Linked DNA regions of Drosophila melanogaster. The protein of the gene in region 1 interacts with the protein of each later gene in a pairwise test. Each region holds a gene or a part of one and is shown on either strand. Other genes may lie near its edges.

Region 1 (4,104 bases):
ACGAGGCATTCGATCTGATGCACAAGGGCGAGAGTATCCGATCCATTATTAAGTACTAAGCATGAGATAACAATTCTTTGCTTTTCACTTTTTATACAAGTTGGCAATCGCATGCGATTGCTTAAAATAATAAACTCCCAGTGTATATGTACATAAGAGTATCTTCATTGGGGGTCGGATTACTGTCCCTCTCGCGCTTACTCCTCATAATTGCTTGGATTTGCTTATCTGCACTGCCCCACTAAATCTCGAAGTTCAACAACTTGGAATTGTTCGAGATTGCGGTTACTTAATACGTATGTATATTTCAAGAATTTCGCAACATTGTTATAGATTGATAGAGTTATCTGATGACCCAAACTAAACTCACTGCCGGACATCCCCTAAGGCCCCGAAAGTTGTAGATTAAAGGTCAATCGTAAGAACAAGATTGGAATAACCAAGTGGAGCGATAAGACAGGTACTTTGTGCTGTTTTCACCATATGAAAAAGTCACGATTACACGTATAGAATGCCTGTATTTAAATACGCACTACAACAACGTTTGCAGACAAACACGCGTACAGATACTTAAAAATGATAATAAGTCTATGTATCTAGTATGTTTTTCAATTTAACAAACATGCATGCAGTTTTGGTTTCGTCGTTACATATAAATCTCATTTTAAATGCATATTTCTTATGGAACTCGCTAGCTTATACACAAGTGTCTTTTAAATAGTCTGATATTGCATACGTATAAGAGTAAAACTTTAGATGTGTTCGACTTTACTTGTGACTAAGAATGCGCTGACGTTTAAAAAACATACAGAGCAAACGAACACAAAGGAGTATAAATACTTTTTCCTAAGCCTAGGAGAGTATGAGAATACTATTGAAATACTATTATCGCGGGACATTAGAACTTAAATCTATCGAAAACACAAGAGATGGTATATAGGGAGCTATGGATTATTCTAGGAGTGGGATTCGGTTTGAAATTATTTGAGCACGGGCAGGACCAAAAAAGTCCGCCTCACATCCGCGAATTGTAATACGGGTCGTCTTCGCATGGCGGATATCCGTAGAGATACGGATGGTGGCATTGCACTCACGACCAGCGCGACTTCTGCAGGTCGATCTGTCCCTCCAGGGTCTTGGCCAAATAGATGACGAACAACTGCAGCAAGGCTATGCCCAGGGCAACGCCGGCAATCACATACAGATTCCTCTCGACCCATACTCGCACGATCTCGATGCAGCCGCTGGTCCAGATGCGCTTGCTGGCGGCGGCCACTGAACGCACCTGCACGCCATAGCCACACATGATGTTCACTAGGCCGGAGCTGATATCGGTGGCATTAATACAGCAGCTGTAGGGCACTCCACATCTCTCCACCGACGGCGATGAGCAGTTGAAGTACTCGTTCTTGCCTGTATGCATACGGACATGGAATTAATTCGTTTGTGGCTTATGAATCAAATACTCACTCCAATCCTGGTAGCCGGCGTTGCTCAGGCCGCAGCAGTTAAACTCCTGCTGGGCAAAGTCGATGAAGTTTTGCAAGTCGGAGTCGTCACGGTACGAGTGGATGATTTTGTCCGTGAACTGGTACTCGAGGAACGAGTTCATGTACTGCGGGAAAACGAAGCAGATGATGGCCAGCGACATCTCCAGTATGAAGAAGAGAAGCAGGCACATGGAGTACAGCTTTAGCAGCCAGGTGTTCTCGCGCAGCGCACCCAAACAGCCGGCGAAGCTGACCGTGAAGACGATGACTCCGGCGATGATCATCACCAGGGAGATGTTGAAGATCACATCGTAGATGGTGTCCAAGCGCAGCCAGCCATTGCCGTCCATCAGTTTGTCCATGAAGGCGTACACGCCGATGGCCAGGAGCAGGCCGCCGAAGAGCCAGAAGAGGAAGTTTAGCAGGAAGATCATGTACTTGACGCAAGAGGAAACGTAGCTGAAGTGGTGCGGATAGGTGGAGATCCGCGGGTGCATGTAGTTGCCCCCCTGATGGTATCTGTGATTGCTCATGGCCACGCGAATGTGCAAGTCGTGTTTTCAGCCGAGTATTTCGATGAGTATTACTTTTCCTGGTATTTTTGCCCAGGTTTCCTCCCCCACGGTTTTTTCTTTTTGTTGACGCCCTCTTTGCGTGTGGTCTCTTCAGCGGCCTGCACGGCTGTTTTGCTATAGTTTCGCAGTGCGTCAGTGGTGGACTGTCTAACTCTGGTGTTTCCCCGCAGCGAATATGATGAATTAACGCACTAGCTTAAATTTTATGACTGATAAGCAAATTTATGGAGCCACTAAAAATAACAAAGTGCCCGGCGTTGCCAGACGTGCTGTCCAATTAGGCAGCAGTTGGCAGCGCGGCCAGTCAGCTGTTCGCGTGACCGTACTGCCTTTGTTGCCTATCATCCAGCATTCGATTGGCAACGCGAGCCAGCCAGGTGTTTGATTTTCATCGCGTGCAGCTGTTTTCCCAAGCAGCTTTTTTTGTATTAGTTTTTAATTTTCCACCGCTGCGTAACATTGCGACGCACGCTTGTTTTCGCCCGCGTTTGGCGCATTCATAAACAAAAGGCCAAAAATAGAATCAGCACCATTTAGAGCGCTATTCAGCAGGTGAGTAGTTTTCCAGCTTAGAGAAAACCCAAGGACGCACCATTTAAGTGTGGGAAAATTAAGTGTTTTTTCTTTTCGGTTCTCCGCTGGTGACATTGAAGCACAATTGCGAGCGCATTTTCCCTAATTGAGTTGCGACTTTCTCTGCACTGCGCTTTCTCCTCGCCAAGCGTTCAAAAGCAGAAAAGCGCACGAAAATAGAACGGAAAATGTGGGAAATGTGGTAGACGGAAGTGGCAACGCGAATTGCATAAATATTAGTTAGTACGCGTGGGCAGTGCGCAGTGGACAAAACATTGACTTTTCCTCCTTGCTCTGCTCATTTTCCCCCTGTTGCTGTGCTGATTAAATAACCAGGCAGTGCCAAGTGCAGTTGTCACCTGAAATTAGCCACATAATGTTTGCACTTTCTGCTCGCCACGCACTGCGGCGCACTCGAATATTCGCCATTCCACGCTTTTTCGCAGGTGAGTTGCACTAAAAAGTCGCAGGTATAGTTTGTAATACCTGTGGGCGTGTCAGCCCATGCTCATCGATTGGCCATCGGCTAATTTTAGACACAATTTGAGTTGATTTTTTTATACATTTGCATTCTATATGAACGCAATTTAGCCGCTATTTTCTGACTTTGCTCGCAATGAATTCATTGTCTTCAATTGCCCGCGACACACTTGGCTGGCTTTTCTATTGTTGCACTCGGAAAAACCGAAAATAAAAGGTGACTGCTCCACCTACGCTATTCGATTTTCGGTTTTTTTTTCGGCTTTTCCTTCGCCTTCGTTTGCTTTGGGCGCCACTCCGTTTGATTGACGGCGGGCAAGCAGCATAAAAAGCCATAAAACTATTTTTGGCCCAATGCGTTTCTCCACTCCATTTGTTGGCCGCACTTAACAAATCTGTTTACACCTTCATTAATTAGCAGGCAAGTTTGTATACAAAATTGGTGTTACTAATTCCCTGGATGCACAACTTTGATTTTGAGTTTTCAAGATTGTTAACAAATTGTTTAAGAAAATGATAAGTATTTTCTATATTTTGTACGCTATATATAGCTTTTGTTTAATATTGGAATAAGAATATTTATGTATATATTTCCTTATCAAATTGGGTTCCAAAAATGCCAAAAATTTTCTTCATATAATTCATTTTCATAAATGGTATGGTATCGTTTGTATGAGAAAACAAGATGATTATGAGTTTCGAGAAAGTATTTTCAGCAACTCATGGCTGATAGTAGTAAGCTTCTTATCGTCAGATGGCCGCATTCAAATAAGCGAGTTGAGATTGCCCAAGGTTTCGTTGAAAGTCCCACCGATAAGTGGGCAGATTATGAGGGAAATCTTACAGAAGCTTGACGAAATCCCCTACTCAGTTTCCATTACCCAACTGCTGGCGAACCGAAAAGCACACTCAAACCGACCCGACCGCAAATCAAATACCAAAGTATTGTATTGCATTCCAGATTCACGCCAAGACAGCGACAATCC
Region 2 (4,568 bases), on another chromosome or scaffold:
TGTACTTGTACTTGTGTAGTCCTACTGATACGTGTATATTGTCTATAAAGAAACATCGCTGATAAGAGGAGTTGCGCGCGACCTCCTCACTTAATTCGGGTTTGCCGTGGGTGGGAAATGTATAGTATGAATATGAAGCATATTTGTTTGGGTTCTTCAGTGAGTCATTTCTAAAATTGTATAGTCGGAGAGACTCGCTGGTCTTACTCATTTGGCACAGTTCACATCCCATTTGTAGTTATCATAATTTTTCGGCTAGACATTCATAAAACTAAAAGTCAATGGTTGATAAGGATCGTTCAATGGGGTTCGCGTGGACTTTTGCATGCTAAACATATGTTGACGGCATGCTGATACGTCTTTTTCGGCGTGGGCCTGGCTATGGGAACATTTCCGTCTGCTCTGCTGTTATCATCAACTTTTTTTGGCTAATTGGCGCTGTCTGGAGACAATATCAGCATATTTAGTGCTTGAGTTGGCAACCAAAAGAATTCAATCATTTTCGATGACGACCCGCCCAGTTACGTGGGTAGTTCTAGGTATTGGGTGGGGTAAACTGTTGTAAAATCACGCTGTGAAATTTCAAGTGAGTTGACGCATTAGCAGCTGAGTTACTTGAGTTGGTTGGAGTACTCGGTTTGTTTGAAGGCATGCCGCTCACGTGCCCCGATAAGAAATGTTCATAGTTGTAGGGATCGCAGTAGGGCTTTCGCATGTATTACCTCCCACAGTTTTATCTACTGAACCTCTTTAATCTTAACTGATTATTTAGTTTTTTACCGGTTCTTGTAGCGTTTGTTTTGCTTGGCCATACTCTAGATATAGATTTATTTTTAGCTGAAGTCCTCATATATACGAATATAAGTTATACGAATTTTCGGTATTGTATATTTATCATTCCCAAAAATAAAATACTCTCAACAAATATGATGAAAATGCAGCGCGTGCAGCAAATGAAGCACGGCAAATTGCTTTAATTCAATCAATTGCTCTCGCCTCTGTATAAATATAATATATAGATATTACCCTTCTTCCCTTTACCAATTTGTCAAATTTTCGGCTTGCTCGTGTGCCCCTGAGAAAAAAAGTTGCGTCAAGCGCCACGCGCAAATTGTCGCCAAGCAAATTTTTGGCGTCACCCCCACGACTCGTGAACGAATCTTCAAATCTCAGTTGGCTCCACCAGCGAAAGATCACCTCAGAATCGGCGAAATGTTTGTTTTGGTTCAGTATTCTGTCTTGCCTTGATCTTGAATGCTTGCTTTTCATATTTTGCCAATCTGTTGTTGTCAACCAAAAACGAGCCTTAGCACGAATATTTTTAGTACCTGCATTCATTGTGTTTTCGAATAGTTCTCAGGTTTTAATACTATGTATTGGGTAAGACATGTTTCCTGCCTTTGATCAGGTGTTAAAATTTCCATAGACGACACTTGAAACAGGTGTTTCATGTGAATCAATATGGGCAGCCCTCGAGAGATCGATAATATTCCTTTTCTGGATTGTGTAAACAACTGAGTTCTTATATTCATTAAATGGAATTACGGCATTCCGGTCTGTTTATTTTGTTAATGTGGGTTATGTTTGGGTATTTTGAAATTTGTTTTAAATTTGAATGTTTAAAATTATTGTTTAAATATTCGCCAGAGAGAACGCCTAATGCAAAAGGGTATTAATCATTTTTATCTGTTATGTATTTTTTATCTCTCAGTTTAATTCATTTACTATCACATGGTTTTTCAGGTTATCAGACATTTATATCGTTTCTCTTATTAACACGTACACCACTTGTTAAATTCATAAAAGATGATGCATCAGAAAATGCTTCTAGTTCCTTATCAATCGATAAGAAAGTTAAAAAAATATTTTCTTTCGACATGAAAAAACCTGAGAATTGGTACTCTTTCAATGATGTTTGGCTATTTAATTTGTTTTGATTGGCTGCCGAAACTCGTGGATTCACTTAGAGCAATTCTGTGTTAAATTAGTCCAATTGCTGGCTATATTTATTTATGAGTTATATACTTTTGTAAACTTACTTCAACGATTGACGGGGATGTCCGCTCATGAAGTCCGCCAGAAAACTAACGGGTGGACTGTGACTGAATATGGGCGGACTGTGCGAAATCATTTTATATATGGCTTCGATCTGCGCTGATTACAATGATCTCTACAAACAAGGAACTTTGGTATGGAAGCCCCTGTGGAAAAATATAGAAAATTAACGATTTGTTTTTGTTGCTAATCGAAGCGCGGCAATAAATGAACGTTTAATTGGAAAGTAATGTGTAAATAGAATGCATGATCCGAATATATAATATATGTTTATGAAATTTCATATTAATTGCTAATCTCAGGTGGAATCGGAATTAATGATGGTATAATATAGCAATACCATTTCCATAAGAGATAACATTCGAAACGTTGTTAGTTTGGTCCAAATGCATGTTAAAATCAGTTTGATTCGAAACAAGGTGATGTAAATGCTGATACCCAAAATAATAAAATGCCCCCCTTCTTATGTTTTATAAAGTTTTTCATGATATGTTTATTGTGTAGTTTTAGCTTTACAACTAACCGTTAATTGTTATCTCCACTCTGTTTTCCGCTTCACTTTTGACTTCTGGCTAGGAGGTAAGGAACTTTTCTTTTTCTTGTGCAGTCAATCCACTTTAAATTTTACTGTGATCTTTCTTTCTTTGATCTTATTTAAATTTTTACTTTTTCATTTGTACATCACGCGTGAGCGTCAGACAATGAAAAACGATCGTTGGGACGGAACCTTAATTGAATTTATTAAAATCCTCCGATCGGGGCACTTTTTTCGTGGTCACACACACAAAACGACGAACGATTTTTAATAGATTTTTCGCGGACTTTGCTTAAGTGTAGCTAAATTTTCTTGTGTCAATTATTTAACACGGACAAAAAAACAGCAACTAGTTTCCGTCGCGTTCCCCGCTTCGTTCCGTTCCTCCTATGAACCGTACGCTTCGACGATGCGAAAACGAATGAAAATGTTTGTTGCTGCAACTTGCCGTTAAGACTTGATCGGGGCGACAGAAAAAGAGAGAGAGAGAAAAAGAAAAAGAGAGAGATTGGTTGTTTGAATTCCCTTCCAAGACATATAGACATGTTAGTGGAGCGTTTGTAATGTTATCAGAATGTTATATATTCAAGAGGCCAGTATATAAAAACAGAAAACAGAAATAACAGTAAAGCAGAATAAAATAAAATCATCCCATTTTTACTACTAATGAACGACCACATAAAACAGTTAAGTTTTCTGCTCTGTTAGTACTTTAAAGGGTATACATAATTCAGCGTTCTGAACTCGCGTTAGGTTTCTAGAATAGCCCCGGTCTCTCTCTCACTCTCTCTCTCTCTCCTGATCGACGTGGCTTGCATATTTTGATTGCATTTTGGTATTCCGCAGTGATTGTAGTTGTGGTTTCGATTTAGCGTCGGTCCTAGTTGCTTTGATTAGTTTTGGCGCCACTGGCGGTGACAAAAGTCAAAACGGGTGTCAGCCCCTCGAGACATGATCACATGCACGGGAAGCATCCCATCTCCCAAAATCAAATTTCCCACTGAGCCTCGTGGCGCTCAAGTGAATTTCAAGGAGTTTGGCAAACACTTTTTCCGTCTCAGCTTTTTAAATATTTATCTTATCGAAGTCGATAGGTTATAGCCTCTGGTCTGTTCAGTTCAATATTTATAGCCTTACGAACTAGAATTGGTATTATTAGTTAAATTGTTTTTTATTATAAAAGATATTTCACACACAGATTTATAAGGGCCTCTTCCGCACTCAATTGAATATGGGACATTATTCACCACTCGACTCATTTGTGAGTGGGTTTTGGTTTTATGTGTCTGCCCACGCATTTCTTTTATGTGAGGGTGCTCCCCTGACATATGTAAATCAATTAGGCCTTCCATTAGGGTCTCGTGAATGAGACACTTTTAGTCTATTTTCATTGCTGAACTTATAAAAAGCTCTTCGAATTTAATCGATTTTGGTAATAAAAAAGGAAAATATGCAACTATATTAATTGAAATTTTTTATAAATAATAAATACTATAAAACCTAAGTCTATGTCTCAAAAAGTACTTTATCTGCTTTGATAAGTTATCAGCTGATTATAAATGCATTCGTATTAAAAATAGTCCAAGTCATTAGTGATTATAGCTTAAAATTCCTCATCAATCCCATAAAACTCGCGCGTAAGGCCATTATTAAAATAGAAATCAACACCTAAACCTGCGTAAGAGGCTCAAAATTTCAAATACTCAACTAATGAAGCATTGAAATTGATTTTCCTCGTCGCTTTTTCTTTTCCAATCTATGCATGTAGAGTTCAGGCCAGTTTCGACCCACATGATATCTGTCGTACCCACATCAAAACTGTCCCAGACAAGCGGAAACCGCTGAATGCAACCAAGTCTGCTCAAAAATGCAGTCTCAGGCTCGACTATTCGGAACTCGAAATTGTGGTTGGGCCTCCTTTATATAGAGACTGTATATGTATTTGAGTTTTATCTATGCTCTATTTTTGGTGTGCGTG

What was found. The genes of interacting proteins can lie anywhere in the genome.
Region 2: the proteins of Tsp86D (region 1) and Gbs-70E interact in a two-hybrid assay, tested with the Drosophila melanogaster proteins (one large-scale study listed by BioGRID).

The regions. Positions count from the first base shown.
Region 1 is NT_033777.3:10,866,952-10,871,055, reverse strand, and holds Tsp86D (tetraspanin 86D), read right to left. Parts: upstream 2,349-4,104; 5' UTR 2,024-2,348; coding exon 1,471-2,023; intron 1,414-1,470; coding exon 1,091-1,413; coding exon of another isoform or gene 1,016-1,090; 3' UTR 501-1,015; downstream 1-500. Other genes in the region: Fdh (formaldehyde dehydrogenase), read left to right, coding at 1-59; SelR (selenoprotein R), read left to right, coding at 3,015-3,084, 4,080-4,104.
Region 2 is NT_037436.4:14,547,959-14,552,526, forward strand, and holds the start of Gbs-70E (glycogen binding subunit 70E), read right to left. Parts: upstream 3,018-4,568; 5' UTR 2,579-3,017; intron 2,202-2,578; 5' UTR 2,132-2,201; coding exon 2,040-2,131; intron 1-2,039.